2 linked regions of the Coturnix japonica genome follow. The protein of the gene in region 2 binds, or shares a complex with, the protein of the main gene of each other region. Links are inferred from orthologs where the notes say so. Each region holds a gene or a part of one and is shown on either strand. Other genes may lie near its edges.

Region 1 (14,971 bases), on a different chromosome or scaffold from region 2:
TAAAATTGTCCTCCCTAAGAATACATGGACATGATTATACCAAAAAACATGAATTGTGAAAAGAGGGGATTGAAAAAAAGGTTTAGTAATAACCAAACATTTAGACAGATGAGGAAGTAATACACATATACAGGTGGAAGAAATCTACCTACATGAATGTCTGAAAAGCCATTATGATCTTTATTAAAATACAGCCTTCATGCAATCACAGTTACTTCTATTTCAGCTCAAATAGATTTGTGCATTTTCCCAATGTATTTATTAGGTAAACTAAACTGTAGGATTACGTAATGAGAATCAAGATTTATAACAAATCAATTGCAAATGTCATAAATTTTCAACTCCAGAATATTTATGATTCAGGTGATACAGCTGTTATGCTTAGTATATTCAATATCTCCTTTAAAGCAGCAAAGGGGAGGGGGTGGGGAGGGGTGAAGATACCACAGTTATTTGATTGTATTGGTTTACAATTGTAAAAGGAAACTGAAAGTTTTACTTACTGGTACAATTTGAAAATGCTTTATCTTTAATCCATGACTCAATGACAGCACAAATGTTTTGGGGTTACTTTGACTATCACGTACCAAGAACACCCTAAAACAGATTGAAAATTTTCAGATTAAGATTACTCTGAAGCTTTTGTAAATATCCTCTGAAGTTGTTGTAGTTTTGAAACAGTAAGCATCGCGAGAAGCAGAAATAACATTAATTACAAAAATCATGCTTTTGATCAATATTCCTTTGAAAAACTGTCACTGAAAATACTTTTCCTTAAATTCTTTTTCACCTTAAATATTATGTGAAAAATCTGCACGAATAACACTGCAGGCATTTGTTTTTATGCTGCATAGAATTATAATGCATCAGACAGAAAAACACCGTCAAAGTTTGTGCTTTAAACAAAATTTTTCTTGGACTCTGACAGTTACCTAAATCTCAAACTTTAAAAAGAAAATCAAAAGGTTAAAATTCTACAGGAAGTCTACAGAAAAGGTAATGCAAGACATACTAAAATGATTTTCACCTTACCTATAGTCATAAATACACACTCATTTCTGTACACTGTCAACATTTCCAATTCCCACAGAGTCACAGTCTATTTCATAGCACCATTGTTGAAATCACAACACTCTCAATGGTCAACAGTGTCACTGCAACTAGTTATTTGATTTCAGACAGACTGTATACGTAGTTTTGCCATAACCTTGTAGAGTAATCTGGTGCAGATAAAGGATGAATTTAATTTCATTGGACTGTAGTTTTTGTACTATCAGTAGGGAAGAACAGTTTGGTGGGCAGAGGGAAATACCTGGTTCACGGCTTTTTAGTGAAAAGTTTGAACTGTCTGGAGTGGGTACAGCTAGCAAATGTACCAAAGAAGAGAAACGAAGGGACAGTCATTGGCAAGCATTTGCCTTTTTCAGAAGGCAAAAGAAACGGGTAATATAGACTTGCAGATGTCAAACAAGCACCAGCCACCAGCTTTTTCCCAACCACATATCAGAAATAAGAGCACAACAACTGTATGAAAAGAAGCGATTTCAGGAGAAAAAATAAGACAGAAAAATCTTTTAGTGGAGTTTCACAGGATAACAACTTGTATCCAAATTACAGAGTACTACTGTTTTAATTCTGAATATTTTATGAGTTCTGTTTTTACAACAAACATAAGAAAACATCTGAAATTAAGAAATTTTGAGTTCAGAATGATTAACGTTTCTATCAAAAACGTTTCTATCAAAACCCTCATTCAGACTAATTCAGAACGCTGATACGAATTCAGTTATGAAAGAGGGATAATTGCCAACCCACCATACAACAGTAAGATAAGGAGGAATATTTCTCAGTACATTCAGGTTCTCCTAATAAGCTCTCTCTCACCATCTAGTGGCTTTTCACCCCTTTCCAGGACATCAATTATTTTTTTTTTCTTTTTAAAAAAACAGTGAGATCTCTCATGTAAACTTATATTTTCTACATGTTTGTCACTAAAAACTGGCTTTGTTTTTAATTCAGAAAGAGAAAAGAAGAAAAGGAAATGATAAGCATGTGCCATTTTTCAAACATCCAACTTGAGTTCTCTATATGAAAATACCACGACTCACATTAAACAACATGCAAAGTAATCACAAAGTGTGTGAAAAAATTGGAGGTGGATTAGGATTTGTCTGTCATTTTGTTTGCTGGAATACATAAAAAGTTCTTCACTCTTTCCTAACCCTATCAAAACTAACCGGCTTTAATTGAAGAAGCTTTTAAAAGATCATTTTATTGTCAAGAAAGGGCTGCAGTTCATATACTCTTAGAAATACTGGTTGGAGGGGGAGCTTTTTAGATGTGCTGGATGACTCCAAAAACATTCTCAAAAATATAAAAGGAATTTTCTGAATGACCAATTGCATTTTGTCATGGGCCTTTTGGAAATGCTATTATCCTATTCATCTATTTGAGGGCCGATCAGTTTGCAATCCTGTCAACTACTTATCACTGAAAAGTCCTTAAATGTAAAGGGGTAAAGTTCAAAATCTGCAATGCTGCTACATGAATGCCTTAAAAAATGTTTCTTCCACATTTGAACAGTAGATCCAAAAGAAATAAGGAGTGCTATAAAGGAATATGATTTCTGCAGTCAGTAACTGTCATTTATTTATTTCAACTACTGAAATCTTTATTCCTTTCTACACTAGTCCTTTCACCTTCTTTTAGCCACATAAACAGTGTATTTGTTGGTATATATAGTATACGTCATATACATAACAGATCTCTGCTTGGAATCAGTTTTACCTTTTAAGCACCTTAAAAGGTTTAACTTGAATATTTTTTCTCCAATGTATACTGTAATGCATTTATGTCTTCACTGTAGTTCGTGAGTATAAACACCAGTTTATGATTGCTGATACAACTATTTTATAATCAATTCTAAACAGACCACTCAGGATTGTTGTTCTCACCAAAATCACAGTGCTTATCTGCAAATAGCTCCAAGAATGTTTAATAGGATAACTCATTGAATGAATGTGGCCCAATTTTACACAGGAGTCTAGAATTTATACAGGAGTAGAAATAAAAACACAAAAATTAAAAATATCAGGGTTTGATAATGAAATGTATATTCTGTCATTTTTCTCTGAATGAATATTTAAATGAGAGAAAAATAGAAGCAATTAGCCTTACCCTAATACTCATTATTTACCATTAAGAGATAGCTGGATCTTTACTCATTTTACAAGTAAAGGCATACCCTTTTCCAATGGCTATCCCTACACAGTTCATTTTGGAATAAGGTTAGGCAGCTTTCCGAGTTTCCTTCACTCTTTCATCACTAATAAGAGATACAAAAGAGAACAGTGCCAAAGTTGAAAGGTCACAGAGAATATTGTGCAAATACACAGCTCAGATGCTTGGCTCAGAGAGAACACAAGTAATCTGTCAGTGACAGAACTGAAGTGTTAGATCACCACTTTAATGCTTCCAAAAGACATAAAATAGAAACCAACTGATCCCCAGATAGCCCTATATAAAAGAATTTTTATTTCTATTAGGTAAGTGCAAAATCTTTCTTCCTCCATCTCCTTCCTACAATAAAAAGTAGAATTGTTGGCTAGAAATATGTCTCAGAAGGGTTATTTAAAGAATTAGCTTACCCATCTACAAGCCCATGCTGTAAAATAAGTCTCTGAGCTTCATCTCTAGAGATTTTATGATGAAACCATGACTGAGATCTGTGAATAGCTGTAGAAATAAAGATATTTTAAAAATATACGTTGGCTTTATTGAAACAACTGCTGCATTTCTTCTGTAATGAAATAAATCACACATACCCATGTTGGACATGGCAATCGGACTACCATGTGAGTTGAGTCGCAGACAGCCTCTCCTCTGTGTGAGAATTAAAAATGATTTCAATATTTTCTTGTTAAAAAAATAAATAAGTTAAGATTGAGAAACAGTATTCTGATAAAACAAAGATGTTTATACCCTCCAGGCTAATCCTTCTTCAACTGCAACGGAAAGGGCTTCTGTTGGGTTTTCTATAATTCTGCTTCTGTGTCCTGAGAAATCCATTGCAACTAAAGAATTTTCTGAAATGCTCCTCTGCAAAAAAGAAAAACAGATTTAGTCTGTTTCTCTATTTTATTATTTTAACTAATGATCCATGTTTTAAGATAGAGCTTCTGAGTAAGTGCTATGTTTTATAAACAGCGTTTCAAATATCTGCAATATTTCCCACCACAGCCAAACTCATTATACCACAGGTACAGCCCTGTCCACTGCTACAGAACTAAATTTCACAGCTTGGCAGGACAAATCATCTTTTTTGCAGAACTGTGATACATCTATACACACTTTTAACATAAATTCTACTTATATGTGTAAGGTAACTATTCTTAAGTAGTTCAAGAAAAAAAGATAAAATAAGAAAATCCTACCCGTAATCATCATATAAGCAAAGAATTAAAGTTTTTTGCTATAATTTATGTATTTATTGTAAAATTTTTCCCTCAAAGTTTACTGCATTTAAGCACTGGAAACAGGCACTTCTTTGGAGATTAAGTTCTGTTTTAATACTCCCCTTCAAATTCCTGGCCATCAAAGAACAAGCACAAATTCAACAATTATGCAATCTGGTATTTAAAAAAAAAAAAAAAAAAAAAAAAGCCTGATTTTTCTTTCCCTCCCAGTGAATATCAAGTTTTTAACAACAGAATAAAAACAATTTCAGGTCTTAAAGCTCACCAAAACACTACTTTGAAATTCAGGTTTATAAAAAACTTGTTTGATGCTGATTGTAATGTCTCAAACATTGGCTGGTGCTGCTATGACAAATAATTAAAAGAACCTTCCGGAACTGAAGTAACATCTAGAACACAGGAGGCCCAGATTTCTGTCCAAAACCAAAGGAGCTCTGTTTTGTCCCTGCACAAGGGTAACTAGAAACAGAAGGCAGTAATTCTACAGGTCACTGTAGTCTAAGGTCTGAGTAACTGTGACACTCGGCAAAAGCAAAATAATAGGGAGAATAAGACAGTGTCTGACTCTAGGAGAGACGAGGGAACTTCTTGTTGCTGGCAAGGTTATAAACTAATCTGGAATATGAAAACCTGAACATACTTTCTCTATGAAAACACTTTCTCTATTTTCAATAGCTTAATCACTTCATTCTTGAGTTTATTTTCTGTTTAACTCACAAATTCTAGACAAGTATAATAATTGTATCATGCTTAACCCAGTTATATATTTGGCACTAGAATCTAGATGTGCTATAGTGTATGTGGCTGTGCAAGAGGAGACAGAATCAATAATGGCTCCCACACCCATTATGAAAGTAGCAGCTGGCTATCATTAGCTTCTTGTAACAGACAGTATAAATAGTCTGTATATTAAGTGTAATTGTGAAGCCGTGCTTATCAGCAATATCAGAAAACAGTATTTTTGTGAATCCCCATAAAAGCAGATACACATCTTAAGTGTTTTGTCAGCAAGAACTACATTAAAAAGCTCAAAACAAACAAACAAACAAAAAAAAACCAAACATCATAATGGATCCTGGCAACAAGCAATTTTTACACAATTTAAACCATAAAAAGCACAAAGTGCTATACATCACTCAAAAACAAAGAAAAGAAAAAAAAAAAAGAAGTGACTGGGATAAGTAAGATAAGGTTTTAAAAGGACAACCTGATCCCAAATTATCTGGCTGAGGAGACAAACAGATCATCAGTCTACAGAGTGCTATGCCTCCAAAATGCACTTTTGCCAAATTATGGTGTTCCTCCGAGCTTCAGGCAGTATCACAACAGGTTAAATCCAATTTAAATAAATAACCATATGGGGCAGTTACAAAAAAAAAAAAAAAAAAAGAAAAAAAAAAGAAAAAAGACAGAGACAGAAGCATTACCGCATACTGAAAAGGATTTGTTAAGGCTTTCTTATTCATCGTTTACAGTACATGTAACCTTAAGCACGTTATTCTTTTTTAATGCATTTACAGTTCTGCTACTTTTTTTAAATCCTCACTGACAGTGATAATAAGCCAATAAACTCCCCAAATACTGACTATCTGACAAAAGAGAAAAGCCTGCTAACTGGTCTGAACTGCCCAACTCATATTAAATAAGTAAATTAATTAATTAGCTCTCTCATCTACTCAGATGCCCCTAAAGATTTCACACATTCAAAGCACATTTAAAATCTGCAGGACCAGGTCAGTAGTGTAACTGGCAAAAGTCACTTAAAAATAGCATGACTGCAGAAACAGTATATTTACTCATGGAGCTACTGTGGGACGTACCATAGGTGTTATACTCAAAGGGCTGCAGCCACTTCTACCTTGATATGGTTGCATGTAATTCTGATACAGCTGCATCCCATACTAAAAACAGAAAATAATATGGTTAGCATTTTAAACCATAAGCCTGAGCCGAAGAAACTTTCTTCCAGGTGTAGAAGGCAATGCTATGATTCCATGATTTTTTATCATTATAAAGTAGGGACAAATGCTGTTAAGATAATGAAAAACAACATCGTTTTTGCTTTAGTTTTTCTAAACGTACATTCTACATGAAATTCTGCTCATTTAATACATCAACTGACCTACACCTGTTTTTTCCACAAACACATTTTTAAAACATCTCATGTATTCTTGTAGCTTTGTTTGCCATTACCAACATTGTCTCTAAGTTCAGCAAAGTTACATATAAGTGCATCCCTTCCCTTACGATTATTCCAGTAATTTGGCCTGTCTGGTGAGATGAAACTTCAGCTTTTGTCGTACATTGATAGCATTGATAATGCTATTACATGGGAACCTATAATTATGTTATTTCCCTACTTCACACTATAAAAATTAACATAGTAAACTTGAGAAAGAAGTTAACTCCACACAGAAAAGTTACCTTAAACAACCTTATTGCTGTCATCCAACAGGTCCTACTTTGTTCATCATCTGCACAGAGCTGTTTCAGGTCTCTGGTTCCTCCTGATTTGTTAGGCTAGAAGGCCACAGCACATTTTTTTTTTTAGCATTAAAGCATATCTTGAAGATAATACCTGTTGAAATAAAAGCCACTAATTCTCCTATTTTATAACAGACAGCTGAACATTGTTTTCAAAAGCCTTAAAGAAACTTAAGCTTACCGAAAAACTGTGGCTTGCTTTAATATGTATCAGAATGATAAGCTTGTACCTTAAAGCAGAATCCATAGCTTGTTGGTGCTCCAGAAATCTTTTTGCCTGTCAAAGACATGTATATATCACTATTGCTGAATTCACAGAAAAACTGCAGATGCCTTGGCTCCTATAAAGAAGAGCAATGTAATACAGTTAGACTACTTTTAGCTAGCATCTCCAGATAAGAAACTCAGAATAGTACAGCAGTTCTCTTGTTCCAAAATAAGGTCTTACATCTCAGTTTTAACTGTGATGCTGTCTCATGAAATCTAGAAAGAGGCAACTCAAAATTCACTTCTTAATGCAGAGAACAAATACCTTAAACTGGTCAAATAGTTTGCTCTTCCAGACAGAAAACATGAAGTATAGAAGGCATCAGATTTCTGGGAAAATATCTACTAGATTCACGTCACAGTAGGAGTAGAATTTGGAAGTTTTGGGAGTAGAATTCATTTCAACCATCAAAATAAAATATACTTTTAGAATTTGAAAAACATCACACTGCAGTAATTACTGTTGAGTATTACTTGTAGCTATTACCTCCATCTTCCAAGATAACTCTAATTAAGTCAGGCAAAAATAAATAAATAAATAAATAAATAAATAAATAAATAAGAAGAATCTTTCCCATTACAATAGATAGAATACAAAACATTTCCTTTTTAATCACATAATGTACAATTTAAATTAGAATTAATACTGTATTAAATGACAAATACATATACACGCACTCTAACTTCAGAGTTCTTTCCTCTGGTGTTTTTTTCCTTGCCTTACCTTAGATGTACCTTTAGTGGAAAAGTAAAGGCCAGATCTTCTCAAAACAAAGTATAATTTTTTCCATGATTTTTTTCCCTGCTCTTTTGCATGTAAATAACCATGAATCTCAGGATATGTGCTGGAGCTTAGGAACATCTGAAAGAAAATATCAGCCACACATTTCTCTTTTTATCTGAGGTCATCTTGCTATTTCATTATCATCTTCAGACAAGACTAAGAGGAATATACTGCTGATAACACTATTACACCACAGTAATTCAGTTATTGGATCTAACCCCATTAAGAGTACCTCTCATTTAAAGCATACAGACTATTACATAACTCCAAGGTATGCAAGGCAAGCTACATATTTATATGGAACATATGGTTTGAAATGAGAACATTAGTTATGCAATATGTTGACTTCAGCAACAAAACCAGTGTAAGAAGTTCTGATCCCATACCTCAGACCCTATTTTTATAAAACTGCAAATCAATGCTACCAACAGAAGGAAAAAAAATGACATCTCTCCTCACCCTCCCCTGCCTGCTACAGACCAAAAAAGGGAACTGATGCGAATTAAAATTAATTCAGCAAACAAAATTTCTTTATCACAAATCCACACGCGTCTGGAGGATACTACCATTTTCTAAAGAGGAGGAAACATAAGGTCTCTGGACCTTATGTGATGCTAAAGCGGGTGCTTTAGTTGTACCAAGAGCTACAGCAGGTATTTACTGCCCGCATTCAAGGTCATGTGGTGGAGAGCTTTTGGCTGAAAAAATCTGCATCAGGAGCAAGACAGGAGGGGTTTAAAGACTCAGAAGGTCAGCCCTTTTGTCTTCAGAACCATAGGCTTGCACAGTCACAGACCCTTGGAAAGTCAGAATGATATGGATAGAAATTAACTGATGCACCAAGAGGAGCTAATTCAGTTTTTTATTTTGTGCAATTCAGCTAATTGCACAGTCTCTGCTCAAGACATCCACTGACTTCTGCTTAGCCATTTTAGCCAGACACTGATAGAGAGCAATACAGCTGTCACCTAGTGAAGACCAAATATATAGTTCTATTCTGTCTACAAAATTGTACTCTAATTCCATTTAACATATTCAGTTCTGTTCCTCTTCCTTCAGTAAAACCAATCAGAATTATGACTGACACCTAAACACACTAACCCAGAACTTTCCAATTTCTATGTATGCAAAGGAATTCATATTTCCAATATGCCAATGCACATCCAAGAGATGCTCCAAGAAACAGACCACATTTTAAACAAGTCACAAGTCCTACTTAAAATTATACACAAGTTTCACATCTAATCAAACCAAGTGAATGAATTTGTTGCCCACCCCTGAGAGTTACCAGTTCTCAAACAAAACAAAAAAAACCCTCAATACATAAAAATAATAGAATATTTCATTGTCATTGAGGTTTCTAATTAAAATCTACATACTGCATTGATTTTATTTCAAGGCATCCTACTTGCAAAAATAAGTAAATATGTATTCCAAGTAACCCAAAGTGACTGCAACTAGACACATGCATATGGAACGCTCACGCTCTAAGCAATATAATCACAAACTTGTTTACTTTTTAAGGCTAAGGATCTTTATAGCTAAGATTAATACCCCATCTTGTTGCATATAGACATTTGGCATACTTTGGAACCAGTGATTCTATTTAGCACATGCTAAATAGAGAGGAGGCAGGTATACATTTTGTTTGCTGTTGGTTGTTTTTTTAAGGCCATTTAGATGTTCTGATTTAAAGTCATGAGACAAAAAAACTTCCTCTTTTGCTTTCTGTGAAAGTCAAGAAAATCATACTTGAAAAACATTTTACTTGCTTACAGGTCAATCCACAAAAAGCTATAAAAGTATCAGAAGTGATTTTTTAATCATTTGTAAGCATTGATTTGTTAAGATTAATGTCTCTCTTGATACCTGACCGAGCACATCACAAATAATAACACAAGACCATTAACTTGTCTTAATGAAAGTTTCCAAGGAAATAGCAACCCACTGTAAACTATTGACTGAAGAGCTTCTGCTGAAACAAACGTGGTAGCTACAAATCTGAGTGGGTCTTTATGTCTACCAAGTTTTGTTAGCCCAAATGCAATTAAACATACAATACAACATAAAATAGCAACAGATGAGGGATCACAAGCAATTTTCAAGTTTAACAAAATTGGAGAGAACTATATATATATTCAAAAGGATTCTCAATCTGATCCACAAGCCTTGCACATTTTCCACATACCACATATGTTCTGTTCTGCGGGCTGAAAGAGGTTCTGTGCACGGGTATAAATGGCAAACAGTTTCATCTTAAAATACTCAAATATGAGATTGTTTGCAAGCAAAAAAAAAAAAAAAAAAGAATTTCTCACAATAAGGGGGAAGAGATTTGATGACGAAATTAAATGCTTGCATTAAACTACATGATCTATTTGCTACATAAAATTTGAGTCAATTTTTATCAAAGACGTAACATCTTTTGATGTTACAGAATTTTTATTTAAGTTCATATAAATGATTCATATAACACAGTATGCAGCAATTACAATTTATGCAGAACTTTTAAAACTACATTTGGGGGTTATCTATTTGTTAGCATCCTCTTTTTTACGTATTAATATATGTAATACATAAATATAAAATATTTTATGTTAAATATATATACATGTGTGTATTAAAATATAAATAAGAGAATACTAGCAAATAGATAAATATTAGAAAATATATATGTAAGGATATAACTATTTAGTACAGATGAATGCCTTGAAATTTAGTTCTTTAATATTTTTCATTTACTGGTAGAATGTATTGTGTAGATGCACAGAAGTATATTTTAATTTCCATGTTAATTTTAGTTCTACCTTAAAATATACCCTCTTGTGTTGCCTTTCCAATCATTCTTTATCCCCAAAACTCACACACAGGGTTGTTGTCTTAAGACCAGTGAAAGTTCTTCTATTAATTAAATTTCCCAGTGACAAGCAAACAAGAGTGATGTGCATGTTTCCACCTTTATTACTCATTTTTCCCCTCTTTCAGAAGTAAGATGATGATCCCTGATATGGTCATTCTGTGAAATTATTCCCACTGTAAATTAAAATCTTGTGTCCACTTAAAAGATGACTAACACTGAGTGACCTACCATTTTTTTTTGTAAGGTTACAGTAGCCTTCAAGCTAACAAATCATACTAGTCAGTCTAAATTTTCTACTCATTAAGTTCAAACATTTAACTCTTTTTTATATCCATTTGTATCACATCACCAATTTCTCAGTATTCTACTGTTGTGCTGCTGTATGTCATAATTATTCCAGCACTACAATCTTTCAAGAAAACTTTAACCTGAAGAATTCAATACAGGTGTTGGCCATTTTTTTCTTTACTGCATTTTAGCTATTTCTGTGACATTTGTTTCTGTAAGAATGTGCCAATTTCCAAGTACAGTCATATAGTAACTGTCTGGAAGGGATACTCCATATTTCATAAGGAAAGTAAGATATTAACCATGTTTTGAGCTACACAAAAACTACCATCAGATCTTACAGTGACAGAGAGCTGTGCTCACCCAATATAGACAACTGTGAATTGCAAAATATATGGTTCATCTCCTCTAAAGGTTACGTACCTGTAATATCCCAGAGTGTTTAACAGCTGCATTGGTCTCACTTGAAAAAGATATCATATGATCAGGAAAAAAGCTCTGCAATGACAATAATTCATATCAAAGTTTTGTAAAAAATAAATATTAAACTTTGTTTCTCTTTTGGATGTATAAATAAATAAATAAATAAATAAAAATTAAGGAAAAAAAAAAAAAGCTTACTTTAGTATCCTTCCTAAATTTGTGACTATGTGTTATCTGCTGAGTAACTTAGAAATATGAGCAAAAGCAAAAAGGTTTCATACAGCAGTGCAAGTCATATTGCAATACCTGGCCCCCAGTGTTTTTCTAGTAGTAATTTCTACAGCTGTTGACAACTAGGACTCACCAGGGGCTTCAGCATGCTGCAAAGTAGGGATGATACACACCAACATGCTGGAAAGCACAGTTTTCTACTATTTTTATTACACTAGAATCCTACCAAAATATTTTATAACTCCTGTTAAGAGAGAACAAGTCCTTTCACGTTTTTGGGGGTTTTGTTCTGAACGGTCTACTTGGAATTATAAGAATAAGAACCGAAATGTGACTACACTAATATGGAGAGGTCAAAAATTCCACAGTGTGCAAATTTCAAGGAAGTCTGTGTCTCTCACTTTGCACCTCCCCCCCCAAAAAAAAAGTTATTGGCCAACAGCTACATACACTACAATATATTCTTACACTCTTTATATACCATCCAAATAATTCCTTTAAATTCACATTACACTAACAGCCTTACAGCCTACTTGCACTAACAGGAAATGCTATTTTGCAGCAACACCATGTACACCATTTCACGTATCAGATGTTACGACTTACCACCGGATTTTTAAAAAATTCATATTTGACATAATTTTTCCTAAAATAAAATTTGTTTTCCTCTTCCATTCCCCAGTTTGACTGGACTTCCATCACTACCTCATGGTCTTCTATAGCTCTTCCTATTAAAAAAAATGATATATATATATCAATCATAATGATATTAATCCAGCACATAATCTGCACCTAAGAGCACAACAGCAAACCATGAAAACAGAGAGGTCAGACAATTAAAATAATGTATGTTACAAAACTTTAAACCAGTAATCTGAACACAATTCATTAATTAGGTCCACGTTACACCAAGTTATTGTTCCACTCCCACTGAATTGGGCTCAGCTTCAATGTCTGATGTAGTTCATGTTGTGGCTGGTTTTCTTGTTTGTTTGCATTGGTTTGTTGTTCAGGGTCTGTACATTACACAAACCAATCCACGTGTTCCATGCAACAGAATCCAGGCAGCTCCTGACATGTGCTGCCCAGGGCAGCAGGAAGCAGATCACCTTAACAGCTCATCTCTGTCCACCCTGCCTAAGACATAAGGAATGTTTTTCTGACACCTTTGTCTCTAATGCAGCATTCATACACTGTAAACTGTCCACAACATGGAAAAGATGCCTTCTTCCTTGGTCCATGCAATGTTCTGAAGCATTTCTAAAACCGCAGATGCACACAGGGCATTTTAATGCTTTTTTGTACAAACCAGGGATACTGAGAACTTTAGCAGGTGTAGCACTAGCATTCAAGAAACAAAGGGTGAAAGCAAAAATAAAAAAAACAAAAACAAAAACCTAAAATGAAAACAAAACAGAAATGTAATGGCTACTAAATGAATCCTAAAATGTACAGTTTGGTTTAGCAGCAGGTAAAGGGAATGGAAGAAAAGACAATTCAGTTGTTTGTACTTTATGAGCACATTGGGGGAGCACAGAGGGGCAGAATCAGTATTCTCACTATTTTAGACTGCTCCTGCAGCATGTACTCTTGACGGAATTTTCCTCTTGTAAAGCAAGATCATATACATTTAAAGTAAGACACAATCTAAGAACCTTCCTGTAGATGTGCTGTGTAAGTTCAAGGGCTGCATACTCTGAGTAACGCAGCGAGACAGCTCACAGTGTAGGTTTAAGAACAAAACATCTTTCTTCCTGCCAATTATGGAGTTTTGACATCTGATTCTGATCATACTTTCAAAGGGGAAAGGCAATTAAAATGTATTATAAAAACCATGCAACTCACGCAATTTTCTGATCACATTTCCCAGACTTCATCTCATTATCAGATCTATGATGTACTTCAAGTGAATTCTGATGCTCTGTTGCTCAAAACTTTTTAAGAGTTGCAACAGGAAAGTTAGGGTAGGAGGTGAAATAGTGCTGTTTGGTTTTTTGTTTGTTTTTCACACTTAATTAGGCATGATGTGAAATTAACATCATAATAAAAGCAAAGTTTTTGCAGGTGGTCCTTGCTAAACAAAGAGAGTGACTTTCATGAATCGCAGCACACAAAACCTTCTAAAAGAATAACAGAATCGAACCTCAAATTTGAAATATCAGAAAGTAAAAGAAAAAACACAACAGAGCCTCTGTGAACTACAGCATTCTTTTACTGTCTTCTCTCGCCTCCTTCTTCATCAGTCACTGCTTCATGCTTCTACACTGTGAAGCCTGTTAAATTGCAGCCTGCTGTAGCCTGCATATCTATAAGCTTCTTCAGGAGGTTTCCAGCTAGCAAGTTTAGAGACAATATGCTCATGATGGCAAATTTTGCCTCAGTACAGAAATATCAAGCTCGCCACTAGCAGAAGACAAAGTACACTTATGATCTACATAATAAGCAGGGAAAAGTTAAGCTTCCATTGAATTTAACTCATTCTTTAAGCCCGTAAAGATGGAGTTTAAAGATCCCATACAAAACTTGCATTTGTAAGATCAAATGAAGCAAATGGACAAATCATGCAGCAACCCAGAAAACACAAAAATTACCCCCCAAAATACTGAAATAAAGCAGAGTATTTTAAAAGGTTGGACGGGCGGATCTACTCCAAAACACATTCTTCAATTGCAAGGGGGAGAGACACTAAAGAATTGAAGACCTTACATAAAAAGAACATTTTTTTTTTCTTTTCAGAGAAAGCTCTCGTCTAGGATGACATTTAAAACTCCTGAATGCTTGGCATTGTGACATTTAAGAAAATACCATTTCCTCAAGAGTTACTTCTTGGTACAAAAATAAGACGTTCTGCATCACCCCAATGGGTGGGTAAAGATGCTGTCGTTTTTATTTTTAAGGCATAACATCACCGAATATTTTACAATTTATTCAACTCATTTCGTTAAAGGAAGTGAAACACTGAGGTAGTGCACCCCAGAACACACTCCTGCAGTCAAATCAATACCCGCTGCCATGAGGAAGCTGCACTTTGGTTTAGTTAGATCATTTTTTTTTCTCTCCCAGCTGACTGGAGGGTTCCTCCTTGTCTCTCTGCTAGCTCTTCATCTTCACTGTCTGCAACACCACAACCACCTGCCACAGTCCTAAACAAAGATGCTT
Region 2 (15,658 bases):
AGCCTCACTTTAAGTACTGGGAGGCCACAGTGAGGTTTCCTCAGAGCCTTACTTCCTTCACCATACTTTGTGCTCTCTGGTGTCACCGTGGCCCTCCTGTGGATGTATTCCAGAAGTTACATGTCTTTCCTGTGCTGGAGGATACAGTCCTCCAAATGGGGCCTCACAGGAGCAGAGCAGTGGGAGACAATTCCCTCCATGCCCTGAGCCACCCCTCCCATCCCCCATTGATGCAGCCCAAGATGCCGTTGGCCCTTCAGGCTGTAAGCACACACTGCTGGTCTGCATTCAGTTTGTCATCTACCAGCACCCACAGCTCCTCGGTAGGGCCGCTGTTAGAGCGTTCTTCACCCAGTCTGTTCACGTATCTGGGGTTGCACTGACCCGAGTGCATCAGGCAGTTGCACAGCTGTGCCATGTTCACATACACGCTTCATTCTCCTTGTCAGCCTCGGCTCTGCACAGTGTTCCTCTGCTTGGCTGTGTCCTGAGCTGCTGCAGTCACAGTGCCTCGGCAAGGTGGTTTGAGGGGGTGCAGGTATGCTCCCAACTTGAGTCTATTTCTTTCTTGAAAAAGCCCACGTTGATTAATTTGATTTGAAGACTTTTCTAAACAATGGAAATTGGTAATGCTTTACTGCTTTTCACATGTTTTTTTTTCCCAATTCTAATAGCAAGCCTGCCCCAGAACTGCTCAATGAATACACACGTAAAGTAGACTTTCTAAAGGGACTTCTGGAAGCTGAAAAACTGGTAAGATATGTTAGTTTACCTTGGAAAAACTTAAGAGATATTCTCCTCTTAAACTCTCCTTGTTGCCTTGTTCCTACGCTTGCTTTTATCTTACATCCCAAGATAACACTTGTTAAAATCTTATCAGGCAATTCTCGACAAGAGTGAATAAATATATTGTATTTTGTTGAAAGAGGGTATTGTGTGAAGTCTGAAACTTCTTCCTTCCTTCTCCAAGCTGTAGTTTGCAAAATTCCACAGCCATTCCAGCAGCTGTGGAAGTGCTCCCTAAATCCTCATTGGCCATACATCCAGGTGGCCTTACGCTACTGAATGATGTTTGTGACTCTTTCTCGTTGGTTCTTCTTACTTACAGTCTTCATCAACTGAAAAGGCACTGGCAAATCAGTTCTTAGCCCCTGGGCGTACTCCTACTACGATCAAGGAGAGAACCCCAGCTTCCAAAACGGTTCATCTGCAGACCAAGGCTCGTTGCACAGGCAAGATGAGGAGTGAGCTGCTTGGTACAGTATGTTCTGGTGCTGCTGCTTCTCTACTATTACTTTATAGATGGTCTCTTATGACATTTGGTTGCCTTTGGTGGCTGTGCCTCAGGTACATCCTAGGCTGGGGGTGGAGTCACCTTTTGTTTTTCCTATGGATAACCTAAATACTGGGCACAGGTGCCATACTGTGCATGGAGGCCCTTGAATCTGTGATTCCATGTGATTGTTCCTCATGAACCTTTTCACTGGCCCTTTGTAATCTTTTCTTTTGTTTCTCTTCCTGCCTCCCAGGATCCCTTGGCTCTCAGTGGTAAGTTCAATCTCCTTTTCTTTAATTGACCTGAATTTTATGAGTAAAGAAAGAGGAAAGTCAGGTGTTAGAGGTGTATTTCTAAATTACTGACTCACTTCTTGTCAAGATATAAGATATAAGATATAAAAGAAACACTGAATAGGTGAGAACATGAGCAGTGTTACCTGTACAGCAGAGGAGACTTGCAGGAATTCATGCTGAAACAGGTGTTTCAATTGTAGCATTAGCAAGGAGGGTTTGTGTTTGTCATTGCCAACGTTCTCTTCTGCTGTGAGCAAACCGTGTGATCTCAGGAGCTAACATACAGCCACGTTATTCACGTAGGGAACTGGTAGGATTTAATTTGTGGTTTCCATAGCTACTGTAACAGTGGCTGGAATGAGGCCAGTCTGAGTGTCCTGGAAGAGAACAGCACAGCCCATGGGCGAAGCCGAGCCCTCAGGGAAGTGATTCATCTCAGGTGTTTTATTCTCCCAACCAAACGTTTGCTGTTATGTACTGTCTTTTCCTGGTGGAAAACAGACGTTTGAAATCCACGTTCCCTGGTGTAGAACCAGGCCAACTGGGATTACATCTCTGGGAAAGAAAATCTTTCAAGGAACTTGTTTTATCAGCCTGTGATTGTGCAGTGTTGAGTAATATGCTAAAACAGCATTTATTTTTGTTCCAGATTCTGAGGAGCTGAATGTAAGGAAGCGGAAGTAAGTCAGAATTCCTTATTTTGATGCTCCGTGCCTTGGGACTGCCTTTCCCAATGACCTTAAATCACAGATACGTTCCCATTTGGGTGAAGTGCGTGTTGTTCTGTCAGAGTTGTACAACCTGAGCTGACCTCCCAGTGGTTCCCCATAAGTACAAATCCCTATTCTTCTTTCCTTGTGCTCTTGCAGAGGCCTTGTGTCTGATGAGAAGCAGTCAGCAGTGGAGCTGGATGCTGTGTTACAGCACCATCAAGACATGCAGGAGAAGTTAGCGGAGGAAATGCTGAGTTTGGCTCGCAGTCTCAAAAACAACACTTTGGCTGCTCAGAACGTGATAAAGCAAGACAACCAGGTAGCGTGTGTGACAATGCTGAACTCTTCAGTTGCAATCTAGGAGGTTAAGTCGCTCATATGTAAGAAACAAAAGCTGAGACTTCCAGATGAGGTTAGAATGAGGGGAAATTTGCAGGCAGTGCCTGTCTGCTTCTGCCATGCAGCTGTGAACCTTTTCTCTGTTGGAAGAACTGGTGATGAGAGCTTTTGAATTCAGAATTGAAGGTGTTCTGTCTGTAAATTATGTGTTTGAGACTGCTGGTGCTTCACTTTGACAACTGGAACTCTTTAAAATGAATTTATTTGTTAGGACCTTGTTTTTTTCACAACTTACCTACAGGTAGTGCAGTCATCCCCATGAGATAAGGGAGTCCTTACTGCTCAGGCTGTCAGCAGCATTTGATCTCAGTCCTGGGAAGGCTTGAGCACATTTTACCCTTCATGTACCCCTGCTGATACTGATGAAGGTATCAAAGGGACTTTGCTTTCAATGCTCTCCTGTGCTCTTCAGCTACCACTTAGCCACAATAGAGACCCGACACCAAGGCACAGATGTAGGAGACAAGGTAGTTTTGGGGGAAGAGGTTTAATTTGTGTCATCCATGTCAGAAAAGAAATAGCATGCACTGGGATCCAGCAGCTGTGAACACCTCCATTCAGGAGAGCCAAGAGAGTGACGTTTTGAAGGCTCTAGACCACTGCTGACTTCAAATGTAACCTTGTAGCTCTTCAAGAGCTTTCTCACGTCACCTCACTGACGTTTAAAAACAGTGACGGACAGACAGTGTTCACAGGCTCTTGGCTGGGCTCCTTTCCTGTTGTGTTGTGGTCAGGTCTGCCCATTGGTTCAGTGCATTGTCACAGCCATGGGAGGCCAGGGCAGAGCATTTATATAAAGCATGATAAATCCTTTAGCGTTCAGGTCATGAAAGCTTCCTCATTCATAGCTGAACAGCAATGAAGTGGGGTGTCCACCAGGTAAAAGATTGTTGGACTTAATGGACCAAATTCTCTTTGTTCCCAGACGCTGTCCCACTCTCTCCGGATGGCAGACCAGAACTTCGAAAAGCTGAAGGATGAATCTGACCGCCTTGAACAGCATGCAAAGAAATCAGTCAACTGGCTGTTATGGATGATGTTAATTGTCGTTTGTTTTATATTCATCAGTATGATTCTCTTTATCAGAATTTTCCCCAAACTAAAATGAAGTCAGAAGGCTCAGCTGGCGTGATGAGTGTCAGTAAGAACAACTGCCACCTGTCCTGTCCATGGCCTCCCCTCCCACCTTTTCTTGGTACTTTTTGGGTACTTTGTGACATGTTTCTCCCCAGTTAATATCACTGCCTGTTGAGGAAAGAACCTGGTTAAAGATAGCAGTTCATACTGAGCTCCTAAAAGATTCCTTAGCAGATGGATACACTCCTCTGTTTTTAATGTGGTTGTGGCAAGTGTTACAACTTCTGAAAGGCATTACTCAATAGGGATATAAATATTGCTCCGTCAATGTCTTAATTCTTTTTCTTTAACAGCTTTGCTGTGCTGGGATCTTACTGCCAACAGGATATTTAATTACAAGGTTGTGTGCATACACAGCTGTAGGGTGTAGGAAAAGAACGCTGCTATTGAGTTGCTGTCCTGGCTTGGATTCAGAGAGTGCCGACAGGTAAAATTGTTCTCAGGCTCACCTTCTGCTCAGAGGAATGTTTGGTTTTGCAGACTTGTTCAGGTTGGTGTTACTGTGGGAGGGCTGAAGTTGTGTTTGCTTCCCTTTTCAATGCACTGATGTTCTCCCTCATTGTCACTTATGTTTTGCCTTTGCATAAGGAGACGCAGTGGCAGTGTGGAACTGTACACACAGTACACCCTGTACAGTATAGATCTCCCTGTACAGGTATTTCAAGGAAGACTGAAATAGAAAGGAGGGGGGGGAAATCAGCCATTACCTCTTGGGACCAATTCTGTGGTCAGAAGTTTCCTGGTCCAATTAGGATCTGTAAGAGATACAAAGTAGAGCAAACTGTGTAAACTGTTACAGCTGGAAGAAAATAACCTGCGATAAAGCAGGGTTCACTGTAAGAGTCTCACGGCCGTTCTCAGGTGTTGGTGATTTAGCTGGAGCTGTTCTGCACCTGTGCTGCCCTTTCTGGAGTTACTGTGAGGCTGTGGGTGTGTGTTTGTGTTCATGCATGCAGTGTTGGCACTGGAGGAGCTGAAGAACCTCCCATGGCTGCTGTGCTTTTCACCATTTGCTCCTTTGGACCACGAGGTGGGGATAGTTCAGCTTCTCCGTGTGTGGATGCTGAGCGTCTCTCTTAGAGCAGAGTGCGGTGCTGGAGGTTTTTGTGTTGATAGTGGGATGTTACAGTGAAAAAAAGCCCTGGAAGGGAAGTAGCAGCCGGCCCTCCAGAAGCATTCAGTCCTCCAAATCAACATGAGTTGCCATTTAACTTCACAGTGTTGGCATTTTGTGGGTGTGTGATGGGATTTGAGACTGAACCCCATCAACCCCATCACTGCTGTCACACAGAGCAGTGCCCTATGGAGGATCATCACCTTCTGCACTGATGAACCAAAGGGATTAATTGCTCCTGTGGGCAGCTCTCCTGCACACAGTGATTGCTTTGTCAGTCAGAAGTTGCAGTCTTTGCTTTTCTTCAGTTCCTTTAGTAACGATGGCAATTCGGAGCTGCTTTGAAGGTCTGTGTGGAGGGTATTATATAAGTCACAGAATGCAGTCAGTGGGGGCACAGACAGACCTTATTTCTCCAGGTAATGCTGGTGGTGAGCTCAGTGACTTCAGGCCTCGGCCCCATGTTCTGTTGTGGGGTTCTGATGTGCTTCACTTCATGGGCTGGTGTTACACACAGAGATGGCATTCTGCAAGCATTGCCAAGTGAGAATTGCTTAACATTCCCAAAGCTTGGGAAATCTACATGGGGAGATGTTTATCAGACACAGGGCTGGGCCCTGCTCTGCAGAACACAACTCCAAGCAGCGAGTAGAAATAATAACTACTGCTAATAGTGCTGCTGTCAGAGACTTGGGCCATGTCAGGGTGGTGAACGCAGCCTTCCTGAGCCTTGCATCCTCAGGTGATAGCTCTCAGGAGGGGATGGATGGAGGTCCCATCCCTCTGCTCACCACATGCTGCTCCACCTCCCTTCTCACTGACTCCATCGTAAACCTGAAATTGAAACCTCAGAATCCAAGTCTCAAGCATGAAAGAAACATCAGCCATAATAATACAGCACGAAGGAGCAGAAAACAGCAATCAAAGCTCTCAGTCTGCAGCAGTGCTGCTGCCATTCCCAAGGCCTGCAGCTTTGTGCTGGCTGCTCCTCACTGCGGGTCGCTGTACTGAGCTGTGCTGCACGTTCCCATTGACCAACAGTGACATGACAAACCATGGGAGCTGAATCAACACCACCTGTCACATGAGACCACTGTGACATTTCTGGCACGATTGCTACCTCTTAATAGATGGAAGTGGGAAGCTGCAGCAGCTTGTGAATAATGGATTAGATATGCTTGATTTGTAACATTTACAAAGAAAGGGTGTGTCTCCTAGCGACAGAACAAACTGCTTATCAAAGTGGGAACTAGGAGTTCTATGCTGTCCAAAACACAAAACACGAGATAAAGCAACGTGGAGCACAGGGTTATGGTCTGCTGAGCTCTGCTATGCTGCCCGGAGGGGCCATCCCTCCAATTCTGACCCTCGATTAGCAACAAAAGTGCATTAGTTAATTAAAAAAACAAAGAAAAACCCCATGCAAACTGTAGCTGGGAACTGGCACAGCCAGTCGGTTGCCTGGGGCACAGTGTGTGCATACGGTGTGTGAGAGTGACGTGGCTGCAGCCACTGATGTGCACGTGGCTGCTGATAGAGAACTGCACACCAGGCATGGGGGGGGAGCTGGGGCTCTATGGAGCTGCAGGATGCTGGGCTGTGGGGCAGGATATGGGGCAGCAATGGTTGATGTGGGGCAGGATATGGGGCTGGGCTGTGGGCTGGGCTGTGTTTCTCTGCTCACTGCGTGTGCTGAGTTCAAACAGGTTGTAAGGAATGGAAAGCATCGCGTGACACCCAACCATCAACCAGGACAAAAGCTGGAGCTGCAATGGGCAGCGCTGCCATTTCCTGAGCTCCTCATCCCTGGCGGCTTTGAAGCCACGTGGCAGAGATGCCCTCTGCCATTTTCACCTCAAGCAAAGGTTGTGTTTGCTCACGTAGCGATGGAATTATCTGGAAGGATCTGACAGCGTTTCCTGTTTCAGCAGCAGAAAGATGAGGCTTCTGCCCTCAGCACGGAAGGCGGATGGGCCTCGTCCTTAGAGCTCCCTCCCTTTGGGAAGACAGCGCTCACTTATCGGATTTGGTGCGGACGGAAGGAAGGGTAAGAAAGGAGCTGGGTCACTCTGTGACGTGAAATATTTTATATTGGGAGATCTGGCAATAGTTCTGCACGGCTCCAAACAGGATGAGATGCGATTCTCAGGGCCAGCTGTGCTGTGCTCAGTGCTAGGCCTTGCAGAGCAGGCTATTCCAGAACCTTCTGTCCTCATCCTGCCAGCCATGCTCACATTGAGCTGTTGTTGGAAAGCAAGAAACTCTTCCACATCCCCAAAGAATGGGAGGATGGATGGTGTGTGCTGCACACACATTTGACTCAACAGAAATAAGGCAACCTATGCTTTGTTCCAAGCAGAACCATCTCCTCCATGGGGTAACTCCACCTCAGCACCCAGAACCTGCTCCTAAGAAACACATACATGGAGAGGAGAGAGAATGCTTAAGGAAGGAGTTGTACTTGATACCTCAGACTAATGGTTTTAGCAGTGTTTATTCAGTTGGAAATGAGAGAAGAGCACGAGGTGCTGCTGTTGGGAACAGAACCAGGAACATGCGGGTGCTGCTGGGTTATGTGATGGCAAAAGCACGATGGATACGGAGCACAGGCTGCACACCAATGGTCCTCATCAGCAACCAGAAACTAAAAATAGTGTTTGAGTGAAAGAGAATGGAGCTGCAGCCTTTAATCCTCCCCATTCCCATCGGTAAGATGATATTATTATCACATGGAAAGCGAGGAGAACGTGAGTAAGCAGAAGCAGGTTGCTATTACAGTCACATTGTGGATTCCACGCAGCTCTGGGGATGACGTGTGGCTCTTTCTGCTTTATGCAGAGGCTGATATGAGGCAGGCTGAGCTGCAAGCATGGAGTGCAGTTTTGCTGCCCATTCCCACTCCTGCCCTCACATCTTGCAGTGTTCTGGACCGAGCAGAGTTCTGAGTCTGTGGGGCTCATAAATAGAACTGGAGTAAATGACAACAAGAACAGACCTGGGGGTCTGTTCTGACACACAAAGGAAGGCAGCGCTGCTCATAGGGCCCTTCATCTCAACATCCCAATGCTCTGCAAAGGGTTTGGAGCAGCCACAGCTGCTGATCTTTGCGTGCAGGTGGCTTTGAACCAGGCCCTGTCCTTACCCCGTCCAACAGGGAAACATCACAGAGGGGTCGGGTTGAGCTCCCCCAGAACGGCTGTGGTTTCATTGCTGCTCCTCCTGTTATTCACAGCGATGGGAGAGCCCCGTGGCTCCCTTCTATAGGGATTAATGGCACAAATACTTCACACAGCTCAAACTGTCTTAAAGCAGCTCAGCACCTGGAAGCCGCAGCCCGGTGCTGCTCCACGGGGGGAGGAGCAGAGCGGTGAGAGCCGAGCAAAGCTGATGGAGGGACGAAGGTTTGGAAGAAGCTCTTTAACTGAGCGGGGCAGAATTAGCAAAGCTTTATTCCCGCAGTTGACGCAACTCCACGTCTTGTAGAAATGGGTGGTAGCAAAAGCCTGATAAAATTACTGGAAGTTGCCAGGAAACGTGCGGTAATGGGGTAATGGCTCCGTACAACCGAGCGGCGAAGGCGATTAAAAGAGGAGGAAAAGGACTCAGACGCTGCGTCCCTGCGCAGGAGCCGCCCGGGCCGGTTGTGCTGGGCATTGCTGTGCCGGATCCCGGCGGCCAACACGGCGGCACCGAACGGTTCCGCTCCGGTTCCGCTCCGGTTCCTCTCGGGCCGTTCCCCTCCGCGCTGAGCGCAGCGCCCCGGCCCGGCAGGTGGAAGCGGCCGCTCCGCTCCGCCCCCCGTCCCGTCCCGGCTCCGCGCCGCCTCTTGCCGCCGCCCGCTCGCAGCTGACGGGGGCAGCCCCTTGTTTACTGGGCAGGAGGCGGCCGCCCGCCCGGCCTGCGCTGGAGTGGCCGAGAGCCGCGTCCTGAGCCGCCGGGCCGGGCTCCGCGCTGGGGTCGGCGGCCGGTTCCTCGGGGCTCTGCTGGACGATGCGAACCCGAAGCCGGGCCCGGCCCCCGCGCCCGCCCCGCGGCCTCTGATTCGCCCCCGCCGGGACGCGCCGAGCGGCTCCGGGACGCGGCCATGGCACCGAGAGCGGCGGCGGCGGCGGTGCTGGCCGTGACCGCGGTGTTGGCGGCCTGCGGCGGCCGCGCCGAAAGTGAGTGCGGGCGGGGAGCGGGGGGACCGAGGGACCGAGGGGGAGCGGGGCCCGGGCTGCGGCCCCGCACGGCGGCGGGGAGAGGCGGCCCCGGAGCGGTACCTTTGTACCTCTGCCCGGCGGGGCAGGGCCGGGCCTCGGGGCGGGCGGCGCGGCCTCAGGAGCGGGACAGCGGGGCCCGGAGCGCTCCCGTGGGGGGCGGAGGAGGGGGGAGGTTCGGGTGACCTTCATCGCTCGGTTCGGCGCTTCGGCCCCGGGCGGGTGGGAGGCGCGACGGGCCGCGGCTCCGCGGGTGCTCCGCGTTCCTCCGGGGCCGCGTTGGGCCGCCGAGCCGGGCGGAATCGCGGGGCCTCCGCGGCGCTGCGACCATCGGCCCGTCCGGCCGCGGCCATCGGGTGGGTGTTCGGCAGCCACGAGCCGGGTGCGGGGCTCGGGCCGACGCGGGGCCCACATGGGGCGACCCCGCAGCAGGAGCCGCCGCGCTGCGGGACGGGTCGCGTGGGTGCGCGGTGTGTTGTGTGTGTGCGTGCGGGCGGTGAGTCCTGGTAAAGGTGAATGTGTTTCTTTGGAGGAAAGCACGCGGGTCCCACGGCCTGTCGGCTTTGCCACCAGCAAAGGCAGCATAGAGAGAGAATAGCTCCAAATCCACCCAGCGCAGCGATGGGCATCGCTGAAACGTCGATACACAGTGAGAATAAAGCACAGAATGCAGCACTCAATGGCTGCTCGGCTTCTCCCCGCTGTGTGCTGCAGAGCCCCGTGCTGTCCTCATACAAAGGTTTGGCATGGAGGCCTTAAAGGCGACCCCGAGCAGCTCCAGAGGAGCACAGCTGGCTGCACACACAGCGCTGGGCTGGTTGGTGAATAGCACTGCTATTAAAACACACGCTGCTCCAGCACAGCAGTTACTGATTTGAAAGCACTGTTATTGCTGCCACACCGAAACGCTGTGTTTATGTGCTTATTTAAAAGCTAATTCTGCTTTTTATTGCAAGTGTAAAAAGTGAACAGCTCGGATGGTGCTCGCTGTGTTACTCCACAGTAGGAAAGGAAATGTGCTGTACAATTATGGATGGAGAACAGGAGCGACACAGGAGGTGCAGCAGCAAAACCTGGGCTGGAATGTGTGTCATTCACAGCACAGACACTGCAGCAGAGATCTCACAGCCTCTGCTGCGCTCAGGTCCCACCTCGAAGGCTCTGCAATATGTGCAATGTGTGCTGCGTTCTGTGCTTCCACTCGCAGTGTGGGTTGGGGGGATGCAGTACAAGGGCTGTGTCAGCACACACGTGTTGTTCCCTGAGCAATGGAGCTCGTGGATGCTGCATTCTGGGCTGTGTCTGCTCCCCACTGATGGTATTCTCTGCTCCTTGAGCCTGTGGTTCCCCAATGATCATCTGCGATGGTCTGTGGGCTGTCTGTGTCATCCTGGCCCCATGGTGCAGACCCATGAGCAGCAGCTGTGTCTTGCTGAGGTCCCAAGGTTTGGTTGGTGCACTTCCATCACACTGCAGTGTTCTTCTTGGGGGGGTGTAATGAAACTTGTCTATCGTGATTCATTTATTTGATTATTATTTTTTTTAAAGTGATTTTGTTCTGAGTAACCAGAGATGGAGGAGCAGCTCCTCTCTGGCAGCAAAGCCAGTCATTACTTCGCCTAAATCTGCTTCTCGTTGTCCTGGTAACAGTAAATGCACGGCTGACTTAGCAGCTGTGGTGTGCTCTGAGCTGCTGCAGAGTGGGATTCAGACACACGATGGGGTTGAGGGCCCTGAGACAGAGAAGCAGATTTGGCTTCATGTGGTTACGGCTCCTTCTCGTGGGTCCTGGAGGTGCGAAGGAGGAGTGTGGGAGCTGTGGGTGATGCTCAGCACATCAAAACTAACCTGGAGAAGATAATGAAAGATAAACCTTAAACGTGATTCTCTCTAAAGGTGGAAAAATCTGGCCTGAGCGTTTGAATCTTCACAGGTTTACCATCCCAGCACCTTCTGTTTGATTGGTTCAGATACAGACCCATGATGTGCTCTGAGTGCTCAATGTGGGTGGGGGTCTCAGTGCATCCAGGGGCACTGAGCAGCACTCCTTGGCACTGCCATCACATGGCAGGGAGCCCCTGTGGGCTGCTCCCCGACTGCTGGGTCTGGTCTGAAGGGAGCAGCAGACCCTGTGCCTGCCCTGCTCCCCGTCCGCGTGTGGCTGGAAAGCAGTTTGTTCTCCTCCCGATCTCCTTTAGGTCTCTGAAGCTCTTCCACTTGGCACCGCTGAGCTGTGATTACGTTCCTCTTCCTCGAGTGAATGTCAGGAGCTCGTTAGAGGCTGCAGTGAAGTCAATCACTTCTCAGCACAGGCAGATTGTTGGGTTCAGAATGAAATGATTCAGAGACAAATGTGCCGATTTTAATTGTTACTAAAAAAAAACCCACCCCAGCCTTGTTGCACCGATGACATTTATTCTAGGCCTTTCCTTCCTCCCCTTCCAGCCCTAATTCTGCCATTCCACGATGCTCTGTGCCCCCACTTCTTCTTGCAGAAGGCATCTCTGATGCTGTGTGCTCACAGCAGTCCCAATGGGCACTAATGCTGCTCTGAGTCCCACAGCAGCACTGCCAGTTTGAGGCTGGTTTTTTTTCTCTCATTGCAGTTGAGCAAAGTTTTAAACAATCATTAAGACGTTTGCATATAAAGTATATTTTTAACTCACACAGCAGTGACCTTTAGTGCACCCACCAGGAGCTGGAGAGTCAGAGCTATCCAACGTCTGCACGTGCCTTAATTTTATAAGGCTTGATTATTGCCAAGTGATTTCTCGAAGCTTCATTTTACAGTCACTGCTCTGTATATACAGTGAGCAAAAAAGGTAAATATCCTGCGCTGTTAATTCTCAAGGGGAGGATGTGTTCCTTCTCTTCCCAGTGCTGCCATGTTCTCCCCATTGCTCCTTTCCTATCTTCCCCTCCCCACCACCATTCTCAGTGACCCCCCCAGCACCAATTGCACAACGCAGTGAGGTAGTTGTGTCGCTGGCAACTATCTAAAGAAAACAGACTGTGTTGCATGGACACCTCCACTTCGGTAAACGCTGAGTGACGTCCGAGGCCCGGTGCTGCCTTTCCAGTCGTGGTAGAGGTAATATCCACAAACTCAAGATGGCAGAACGTTATGAAATCCCCATTGAGTCGTGTTTTGTAATCATATACCGGGGAGTGTTCCCAGCTCTATTTCTTAACGCTCGCAGCGTGTTTTGTCGCACAGGACCCGTCCGTGTAGTCTGAATGCAGCTGCATTTTAGGATACAGTTGGAAGAATGGGTGTGTTTAGCCAGCTAACGGTCACCTTTATAAGAACAAATAAACAGCATTGTTCTTTGCCTCCCAGTTTGCAGAAGCATGGACATCCGCAACAACCTGACCCGGCTGAGCTTGCTGGAGAACTGCACGGTGATTGAGGGCCACTTACAAATACTGCTGATGTTTAAAACCAAGCCTGAAGATTTCCGCGAGCTCAGCTTCCCCAAACTGACTATGATTACAGACTACTTGCTTCTGTTCCGTGTGTATGGCCTGGAGAGCTTAAAGGGCCTCTTCCCCAACCTCACGGTGATCCGAGGAACACATCTGTTCTTTAACTACGCGCTGGTCATCTTTGAGATGGTTCATCTAAAGGAGATCGGCCTCTACAACCTGATGAACATCACGCGCGGTGCCGTGCGCATCGAGAAGAACAACGAGCTGTGCTACCTGTCCACTATCGACTGGTCGAGGATTTTGGACTCCGTCGAGGACAACTACATCATCGCCAACAAGGATGACAAGGAGGAGTGTGGAGATGTGTGTCCTGGGACGGTGAAAGGGAAGAGCAACTGCCCACCCACCGTCATCAACGGCATCTTCATCGAGCGCTGCTGGACCCACGACCGCTGCCAGAGAGGTGGGTGAGCTGCAGGGCAGCTGAGATGCTCCCATCAGCTGTTACCCATCCATGTGAATAACGTGCCCAAAAGTGCCGTGTTTGGGTTCCCTGGAAAGTCAGGGGCTTCCCAGAGCTCCCAGTTGTGCTCTATGGGTGTAGCTGTTGTCTGTGTCCTAGTATTAGGAATTCTTTTGGGGCTGTGGGATTAAAAGCCTGGCTCGATTGAAAGGCGGATACAGAGCAGCAGGGAAAGGTCTTATGGAATAAAGCTGACTCCGGAAGGATGCAATAATGCTTTTACTGAAACCTTCCTGCCATAAAAAGGTGTGAGATGGGTGGGTGGGTGAGCACTGTTTGCACACAGCAGGAAGCTGGGAGAAGGGGAGGGGAGGAAAGGCCGGGTTTGGTGCTGCAGAGCTGTGTGCACAGCTGCCATCCCAGCCCCCAGACTCCAGTTCTTGACGTCCTTAAGGTGGCTTTGAACTTCATACAGGTTTGTTTCTTCCAAACTTGAAGCTGACCTTAATTTTGGTTGTAATTATACGTTTGGTTTGATTTATGTGAAATCCACCCGACGAGAAGCAAAGCGAATTGAGGTGAAAGTGACACATTCAGAGCTGTCTGTCTCCTCGGTGGTAGTGCATCCAAATGAAGCAGTGTGTCCTAAGATGAAATTAGGAAACTTGTGGGCTGAGGAAAATTTCTTGCCAAGCTTTAAAGGGCAAATCCGAGTGCTGAGTGCCAGATTTCAGAAGGAATTCCTTGCAGTATGCAGCAACTAATGAAATTAATGTGGTTTCCCCTCTGCTGCTCCTCACCCCAAATTGTCTCGCTTCCTTTTAAAGAAAGTGGTTATTTTTTATTGCTGGAATAAGAGGCTTTGAGCAAGATCATGTGAAAGTCTGCGTGTGTTTCTTCTCTGAGAGGAAACGTAAGGTTATGAAGCATTTTAGTTTGGAAGCTCTTTTGGTATACAGCCATTATCAGCAGTGCACCTGGTTTGCTGTGCGTTCATGGTCTGTTTTCTTCTGTTGCCCAGAGTTAGAGGTTGAACTGAAGCAGTTTTCTGTGTCTGGAGCATTCATCATCCCTCATTCCTGCGAGTTTTGGGGCTGTGCTGCAGCAGACTGGGACGTGTGGCTCTTCTCCTTTACGTGACTGTTTATTTCCATGAAACCTGGAGGAATTTAACATTGCACCTCTGGGGCAGAACCCTGCGTTCTGAGCCCCTCACATCAGCTCAGCGTGGGGTCCTGGGGGGGGATAGCAGACATTGCCCCACGCTCCATTACCAAAGGGAGCCAACCTGAAGTATCCATATGGTTGGAATTGGAATTTGGGGAATTATTCCAGGTGTTGCTCTGTGCCAAATCTCCTTTTGGTTTTCCGTGCTCCTTGTCCTTGGGGCAGTGATGCTGCGATGCCTTTATTCTGTCGTGGAGGTACATTTCAAAGGCACCTGAGTGAGTCTGACGTGGCCTTGTTGTGAACGCTGCTTCGTGCTCTCATTGGCAGCTGGTGCTCACCAGGAGGTGGTGTCTGTTCTGCTCTGTGAGGCCTTTGGCCCCACTAGTTGGTGGGACTGTTTCTGAGCGTTCTTTCAGACTTTGTTTTGACTTCTTTCTTAATTGCCTTTAGGCTTCCACCACTGACTGTGCTGTAGTAGCCATGGCAGAGGCTGCGGTATTTGTTTAGAGAATCTCTTGGTGGAATTGCTGCATTCCCTGTTCTTTGCCAGCCATAACGTATCCTTCATGCATGTAATTGCTTTGTCATAATTATTACGAGCTCGTGGCTTCCCTTTGCCTAAAGAGCTTTGCAGTGGCACTTAGGACCGAGGGCATCAGTGTGGGCAAATCTCTCTGCACTCAGGTGGCTTATCTGGGCCTCTCAGCACTGAATGCTGCAGCGCCCAGCATCCCCTGGCCCTGCCCTCCCTGCCCACTGTGCCCATGTCCCTTTGCTGCTCCTTCTTTCAGCCAATTCCCATCTCCCATTTAACTCCAGCACCGACTGAGTCACAACGTGCTGTTATCTCAGAGCTGCTCCTCCAGTCCTCGGGATCACACTGTGCAGCCCAGCAGTGTTTCAGTTGTTGATAACACATCGGAGGAGACAGCAAAGGGGAAGATCTCCTTGCAGCCATGGGAGCTCAGGCAGCACGTGGAGGAACTGAAAGAATGTGTGGGCAGCTGTGTGCTGTGGGACGGCCAATTGGTGATACTGGGGAGTCTAGAAAGGAACACACAGGGTCCGCCTATAGCAGCGTGCAGGTGGGTGTTGCTGAGGATGTGCTTCCCCTGAACCCTCCTTTCCTTTATTCTGCGTCGCTCGTGTTGGTATGAAAAGTGAAAAGCCGTTCAGCTGAGGCCAACTCATGTTGTATTTTGGGTAGGAAGGGAGAGAAATATGCAGTCGGTTTGGAATTTGGGTCTAGCCTTGTGCTGCTTGTAGCAGCCAAAGGCTGCGCCTCTTCTGGAGGTTCTCTGTCTTTTCAGCCCACGTTTTTATAAGCGTTTTTTAACACAGATGTACTTATTTTCATTGCTGTAGAGATTGGGTTCTTAGTTCAGTGCAGCGTCTTCACTCACAGCTTCTCTGCTGAGGAATCCAGACAAGAAAAATGCTGGAAATGCCACGTCCCAGACCT

The links.
Region 1: the proteins of INSR (region 2) and GRB14 are in contact, whole or in part, in a crystal structure (PDB 2AUH), measured with the Homo sapiens proteins. The link is inferred for Coturnix japonica from reciprocal best matches to the Homo sapiens genes INSR and GRB14. Residues at the interface, in NP_000199.2 of Homo sapiens: Leu1065, Arg1066, Ile1069, Glu1070, Lys1112, Arg1116, Arg1163, Met1180, Arg1182, Tyr1190, Lys1192, Gly1193, Gly1194, Lys1195, Gly1196, Leu1197, Leu1198, Pro1199, Val1200, Trp1202, Ser1207, Leu1208, Lys1209, Asp1210, Gly1211, Gln1235, Asn1242, Glu1243, Leu1246; in NP_004481.2 of Homo sapiens: Glu373, Asn374, Ser375, Leu376, Val377, Ala378, Met379, Asp380, Phe381, Ser382, Ser386, Val388, Ile389, Glu394, Val398, Ala399, Glu401, Glu402, Gly403, Leu404, Trp406, Arg407.

What each region holds. Positions count from the first base shown.
Region 1 is NC_029522.1:26,421,262-26,436,232, forward strand, and holds part of GRB14 (growth factor receptor-bound protein 14), read right to left. Parts: intron 12,541-14,971; coding exon 12,419-12,540; intron 11,657-12,418; coding exon 11,582-11,656; intron 8,089-11,581; coding exon 7,951-8,088; intron 7,301-7,950; coding exon 7,190-7,300; intron 6,996-7,189; coding exon 6,900-6,995; intron 6,377-6,899; coding exon 6,296-6,376; intron 4,099-6,295; coding exon 3,982-4,098; intron 3,883-3,981; coding exon 3,825-3,882; intron 3,736-3,824; coding exon 3,648-3,735; intron 598-3,647; coding exon 504-597; intron 1-503. UniProt on the Homo sapiens protein: Adapter protein which modulates coupling of cell surface receptor kinases with specific signaling pathways. Binds to, and suppresses signals from, the activated insulin receptor (INSR). Potent inhibitor of insulin-stimulated MAPK3 phosphorylation.
Region 2 is NC_029543.1:3,194,173-3,209,830, reverse strand, and holds the start of INSR (insulin receptor), read left to right. Parts: upstream 1-8,783; 5' UTR 8,784-9,019; coding exon 9,020-9,095; intron 9,096-11,193; exon of another isoform or gene 11,194-12,225; intron 12,226-12,474; coding exon 12,475-13,026; intron 13,027-15,658. Other genes in the region: vesicle transport protein USE1, read left to right, coding at 675-753, 1,109-1,261, 1,530-1,548, 2,222-2,252, 2,442-2,604, 3,610-3,792. UniProt on the Homo sapiens protein: Receptor tyrosine kinase which mediates the pleiotropic actions of insulin.